Linked DNA regions of Tribolium castaneum. The protein of the gene in region 1 purifies or fractionates together with the protein of each later gene. This does not show direct contact. Links are inferred from orthologs where the notes say so. Each region holds a gene or a part of one and is shown on either strand. Other genes may lie near its edges. The genes, in order: Flo2 and EMC5.

Region 1 (3,835 bases):
TTTTCAATCTATGTCAACGAAATTTTTTATATTTCTGAAGAAATTTTATAAAATAATTGATCATTTGATTGAATTGCGTTACACAGAAATCTAACAGTATTTTTCAGCCAATTAGGCGATTTTTTGGTCTATTTTTGTGTAAATATTGCAAAAAGTTGCGTTTTCGGAAAAAAAACTTTCAAAAATCTTCAACGCCGCGAAATAATGCCGCTTTCAAACAGTTTTGTGATTTTTCACACTTCCGCAAAAACTTTAACTTTTAATTTTAAAAAAGTCAAAAAAAACACAATTCTTGATCCAGTTCTATGATTTTTTAAGTAATTTTTGGCGAAATTTCGCTTAATTCTAAATAATTGAATTTTGAATGAAAAACATAATTTATAATAATTAATATTAATAATAATTTAATAATATAAATAAATATATAAATTATTATAGTAATATTATAATATATAAAATTAAAAATTTAATAATAATAATAATAATTTATTGATTTTTAAGGCCATTTCAACGAAATTCTGCAAAAAAATTTGCGATTTTATCTCAATAAAAGGCCGAAACTATAAAAATTACTTTATTTTTGAATGATTTTAAAAATTTCCGGTTAATTATTTATAAAATTTTATTAAACATCTGCGTTTTTTCTAATGAAAATGGGCTAAAATATACCAAAAAACCAAAAGAATTTAGTTTTCGATCCAATTTAATGATTTTTTTGGTTGATTTTTGAGAAATTTTGCGAAATAATTGCGTCTCTATAAAAAAAAATTCGGTGGGAAATTATGTAAATTTTAAATATTTATTTTTAGTGTGGAAATTAACTTAGCTTTGCCTCCACAAAAAAATTTCACGTCTAGAATAGAAAAAATTCACTATTCTTATTTTGTTGCACAAAACACTATTGACCTCTAGGCTTATTTTCAACGAAATTCCTCAAAATAGACGCATTTCTAATGAAAACAAAGGTTAAAAAAGGAAAAAAATATTGAAATTTTTAACTCATGTTTAGTAACTTTTCGTTCCGTTTTGACAAAATCTCGCTTAAGCGGTTAAAAGAAGCGAAAATAACACCATTTTTGACATAATTATGCTATTTTTCGGTAAAATTTCGACAGAATTTCGACCAAGAAAAAAAACGAAATTGTGCAAAAAATTGCGATTTTATCTAGATAAAAGGTCGAAAATATAAAAATTGCATCATTTTTGAATAATTTTAAAAAATTTTGGTTTATTGTTTTTAAAATCTTACTAAATAACTGCGTAATTTAATGAAAATGGGCTAAAATATCCCAAAAATCAAAACAATTTACTTTTTGAACTAATTCAGTGATTTTTGAAAAATTTTGCGAAATAATTTCAACTTTATAAAACAAAGTAAGCCGCTTGAAATATAACATTTTATAAAATTCGGTAGGAGATTTTGTAAGTTTTAAATATTTATTTGAGTGGGAAAATTAACTTAGTTTTGCTTTCACAAAAATTTTCACGTCTAGAAAGGAAAAAAATTCACTATTCCTATTTTGTTGCACAAAAATCTATTGACCTCTGGGCTTATTTTCAATGAAGTTCCTCAAAATAGACGCATTTCTAATGAAACAAAGCGTTTAAAAATGGAAAAAATATTGAAATTTTTAACTCATGTTTAGTAACTTTTTGTTCCGTTTTGACAAAGTCTGACTTAAGTCGTAAAAACAAGGAAAAATAACACTATTTTCGACATAATTATGCTATTTTTGGCAAAATTTTGGTTAAGAAAAAAAACGGCGAGTTTTTTCAAAATAAAAAATATTAAAATTTTTAATTCATGTTTAATAGTTAATCTTTCCGTTTTCACAAAATCTCCCTTAAGCCTTTAAAAGAAGCAAAATTTCGACAAAACTTTGATCAAGAAAAAAAACGGCGTTTTGAAGTGTTTTTGTGTCAATAAAAAATATTGAAATTTTTAACTCATGTTAATTTAGTAACTTTTCGTTCCGTTTTCACAAAATCTCGCTTAAGCGGTTAAAAGAAGCAAAAATAACACCATTTTCGACATAATTTTGCTATTTTTCGGCAAAATTTCGACTAAGAAAAAAAAACAACGGCGTTTTGAAGTGTTTTTTCAACGAAAGGTCGTAAGCATTATTAGCTAACACCGATAGTTCTCAAGAGTTATTGACCTATTTTTCAAAGTCTAAGACTGATAAATGTTTTGAGTATTTTTTTCAACAGAAATTTTTTTATCTTTGTAGACGAATCTGCAACTCCAACTATTTACTCAGGTTTCGCTGTCTGGCTTCATTTTAATTCATTTAGTTACAATTTTTGAATATCGATGAAAACTTAATATAATTAATAAATTACAAGTATAAGCATGTTCTACTTTTTATGAATATCTCCACTTGAAAATGACCGAAATCCCTAATTTAATTAAATCAGTAATTAATTTTGTAAAATTGTGGGAATGTATCACAAGCTGTGACCAGATTTATTGGTGCAAGTGGGTTTCGGAATGAAAAATACACATGTCCCGGTATACATACTTTATTTTTTCTATTAACAGAGTCACGATAAACATAAAATAATACTATCAAAATCGAGGCCAACCCTTTCATTGCTTCCGCTCTAATAATTCCACAAGTCCCACAATATGCCAACAATGACAATATTAAATTTTTGCAGGAGGATGCTGCGGTTCGACCAAGCGCGTGACGATCGTAGGCGGCTGGGCATGGGCCTGGTGGTTGGTGACGGACGTCCAGCGTCTGTCCCTCGAAGTGATGACGTTAAATCCCATGTGCGGAAACGTGGAAACTGCTCAGGGGGTTCCCCTAACGGTCACAGGAGTGGCCCAGTGCAAGATAATGAAAGCTGATGAACTCCTCTACACCGCTTCGGAGCAGTTTCTCGGGAAATCAGTCAAGGAGATCAAAGCGACGATTCTCCAGACGCTGGAAGGGCACTTGCGTGCCATTTTAGGCAAGTGTTCTCGAAAAACCGAGATAAACACATTTGTTAAAAAACGATAAAAATTCCATTGATCTCAATTGGTCAATGAACGAAACCAAGGAAAAGCGATTACGTCGCGGCTGAACTTGACCAAGGCCCACTCGATTCTCTGATATTTCTGACAATTTTTCGACCAGATTTTCGTTTAATTACGTGAAGAAATGTGCAGTTGTTTATTTAACTGCATCTTTTATTATTAACAATAATTGTCGCATTATTATTATGCAGTTAGTCGTTACGTCTTGTAAATCCTTGACTCTAAATCTTCCAATTTTGACGATAGTGGGGAGCTAATATAAAACTTAATAAGTTTATCCTGTGACAGTTCTACTGATTCTTTTGCAAACTTTGAATTTTGCAAGTGCCATGTCGATGGTATGGATGGGTGCTTTTAACGTTTCCATGACCGTTGGACTCACCTATGCGGTTGTTAAAGGGTTCGTTTCAATTAGTTTATTGACAATTTCTTTGTTTGGCCTTCGTCCACATTTACGTACAATCTAGTTTAATTTTTTTTGCTTTCACCAGTTTAAGTGTAATAAAGTGTCTATTATGGACAATAATTTTCTTTTTGTCATGTTTTCAATTGCAAAACCTGACACAATTGGCGCAAATTCCAACTAAACAAGTTGGGCACGACCTAACGAGTTCACGTTTACGCCTAAGAAGCCAAAAATGTGCGTTTGATAACGTTGGTGAATTGACTGATTTTACCGTAATATCTAATTTGCGAAGGATTGAACTCTAGAATTTAAAAGTTTCCACTTTTTTACTTTTGTAACGGTATGAAGTATAGTAATTTACGGCTTGTCGGGCTGATTATAGGTATTTATGTATTAAGGGCGTA
Region 2 (2,951 bases), on another chromosome or scaffold:
AAAACATGTAAGAGGTGTCAGACCTATTTAAACATTATAGATTTTTTTTTATATTCATTATATGACCACAAGAGCAAGTGGTCACCCCTACCTTACTTTATTTCGTGGTACAAGCAAAAACAAAGCACTACATAATGCTATGAAAAAAAAAAGAAAATTTTTTGTTAGTTCCTAACTTACCGGCTCCGTTGTCTTTAACCAGCATATTCTCTGACATTGTAATTTTTGACGATTGGCTGGCAGAACGTAGAGAGGAATACAATACGCAACACATCCAAACGATCAAACCGACGATTCCCTCACCATCAAAAGTCATCTCATTGTCTTTTTTCGTACTACCAGCACCCACAATACCCAAAAGACCAGGATTGCAACTAGATTCTAACCCAAAAAAAATATTTTTCAAGTATAAAAAAAACAATTCAATTACCTGGCGAATTTGCAACTGCTGACCAAGTCAAATAAGTTACATAAAGCGAGACAACTGACGACTGGAGAAGACCTGACCGTGGCAACTTATCCTGAACCGCCGGCAAAATCGATATCGCACTTACAATAACCGACAAAATCAAATTGAAGGAAATAAAGAATTTGTTCAGGTCACAACCATCAGACTGGAAAAATTAACAGTTCTCGTGTCCAGTGCGTGGTCGAAATACTTACTTTTGTGAAAAACACAAACAGGAGAACGATTCCAGTGATGGTCAAGGCGTAATTAAGGAACGTGATCGCAAGGAGGGCAAAGTACCACCCCTTGGATTCGGTCTCCTCGTAATTACCGACCCAAGCCTCGGCCCACGAATGCGCAAAATCAATAATCAAAATCAACTGAATCAAAATAAACAGAAAGCCCCCAATCATCCCAAAATACATCCAAGTCTCCCCAAACGACCCTTCGGGGATGAAAAACGCCCCGATTATCCCACCAATGACCAGCAAATACTTCAGCCCCCAAAAACTAAAACCAAGATTCACCACCGGCCGTGAAACAACTCCCGGGACTTACCCGTTCTGGATGCCACTTCTCGGGTCGCGGGACGACTTCACCCGAATCATCATGACGGCCATTAGGACAAAGAAACAAGTTAAAACGAAACAAATTCGGTAAACTGCAAGATAGCCCACGGCATGGTCGCAATTAATCGAGACGGAATTCGGGAGATAGTTGTTCGTGCTGTTTGTACAAAACGGCACTTTTCGCAGGAGGTCCTGCAAACCGGGGGCTAGCATAATGCAGGCGGTTATAGTCCCCAGGAGCAGCATCAGAGCGTACATGATCCGGGACGACGTCGAGTTGCGACAAGAGGGACATGCTGAGCAGCATAGGGAGCAAGCAGTGCTCCCGCAGCAGCAGGCCAGCTACAATCGATCAGTAGGGGGGCACTTCATAAAACAGCAGAGACATACCTGGGCAGCTGAGCACAGGCCTAAGACAGCCCCCATGATGCACCAACTGAATTAAACTGCGATCTTTAACTGTTTTGGCAAATTAAGTGCGTTCTTTGTTTTTCTTCACTTTGACGTTTGAGTGACTTGGGGGATTAGACCACGCGCTAAATTTAAAGTTTTGGCCGTAAAGTGTGCCAAACGGCTCGATTATCAAATTTATGAATTATGCATCAACTACAATACGAAAATTTTGACTAAAACGATAGTTTTTCGTGCCCAAATGTTAAATATAACGTCAAGTTATCAATAATTCACGATAGCAGTGCCAACGTAACAAGGTGTAAAAAACCTAGTCAAGTCTTGACCATTTTATTCAATAAAAATTAAATAATTAAAAATGCCAGCGACCTTTTTGCACCGTTTTGTTCTAAGTATTGGGTTTTTATCACTGTTCCACTCGGCGTATTCGGCAGCCCAACGTGAGTATTTTAACAAAATCGACGTAACCTCAAACTGTTTTTTAGATCGTTCGTATTTGCGTTTAAATGAGCTGGATTTTACGCACTTGCCGCTTGATGTACGTAATTAACGTGTTTCAGACAATATTGTTACATTGCGCAACTTTCAGATTATAATCCAGGCTTTAATTAGCCTTTTTGTTATCATGTACGGAGTAATGAACGTTGCGGGCGATTTCAAGGAAATAAAAGCCTCAGCCGAGCTGGAAAACAAGTCTTGGGAGACATTCCGCAACATTCCTTCGTTTTACACATTCAGTCATCGCGGCAAGTTCCTCGCGTTTCCGCATCAGACAGGGAATAAAAAACACAACTGATTGCAATTATTTATTCGAAATACTTTTGTAGCGTGCATTTGTACAGTTAAAAATAAATAATGCCCTTAGTCTTAATACTTAAAAGAAATGCTGATTTGTTTCAATACAATTTCTTCAACTGCTCGTAAGTTATGAAGAAGATTATATTCCAAGGCCCCATCCTAAACAACGTTGGGACGAATCCTTTGTAAAATGCCCAAAAACCTTCGTTTTTGAATGTCTGGTAGAAACAATTAGCAGTGCTTGTATAAATATGGGCGGGTAAGAGACCACCTGTTTTTAATTTTCTTTGGTTCATTAACCTGGTCTGGAAATTGGCAAAAATTAGCCAAAAACTCATTTAACGTGACAAAGACTTACTCTCACTACATCTATAGGAGTTGAAGCTATCGCGCTTCCTAAACTGGCGAAAAGACTAGAACTGAAACATTTTCTTGTAATTATTGCAATCAAGCTAAAAATTTCCACTTACACAAAATGATTTGCAATATTATCACCGAATGTGTTAATTAGCCGACTTTTGCAAAAGTCGTATACTGGCAACTCAACTGCGGCAATCACTGCAGCTCTTTGAGCGGTGGGACTGACCCCCTTAAAAAAATTATTAAAATACAAGGTACAGAAACAGAAAATTTCGGAAACTCACTTTCCACAACCCTGAGATTCCTTCGTGAGTGTAAACGTCCTTGAAGCAGTCAATCAGGCCCACATTGGCTTGAATCCCCTG

Evidence for each region.
Region 2: the proteins of Flo2 (region 1) and EMC5 purify together in Homo sapiens (affinity purification with mass spectrometry; 3 studies listed by BioGRID and IntAct, with this or other methods). This does not show direct contact. The link is inferred for Tribolium castaneum from reciprocal best matches to the Homo sapiens genes FLOT2 and MMGT1.

What each region holds. Positions count from the first base shown.
Region 1 is NC_087401.1:11,751,248-11,755,082, forward strand, and holds part of Flo2 (flotillin-2), read left to right. Parts: intron 1-2,661; coding exon 2,662-2,958; intron 2,959-3,271; exon of another isoform or gene 3,272-3,409; coding exon of another isoform or gene 3,410-3,425; intron 3,426-3,835. UniProt on the Homo sapiens protein: May act as a scaffolding protein within caveolar membranes, functionally participating in formation of caveolae or caveolae-like vesicles. May be involved in epidermal cell adhesion and epidermal structure and function.
Region 2 is NC_087398.1:4,374,995-4,377,945, reverse strand, and holds EMC5 (ER membrane protein complex subunit 5), read left to right. Parts: upstream 1-1,649; 5' UTR 1,650-1,786; coding exon 1,787-1,868; intron 1,869-1,913; coding exon 1,914-1,966; intron 1,967-2,017; coding exon 2,018-2,224; 3' UTR 2,225-2,312; downstream 2,313-2,951. Other genes in the region: Serinc (probable serine incorporator), read right to left, coding at 181-381, 431-614, 664-958, 1,007-1,359, 1,408-1,443; mitochondrial uncoupling protein Bmcp, read right to left, coding at 2,325-2,531, 2,585-2,645, 2,697-2,815, 2,871-2,951. UniProt on the Homo sapiens protein: Part of the endoplasmic reticulum membrane protein complex (EMC) that enables the energy-independent insertion into endoplasmic reticulum membranes of newly synthesized membrane proteins.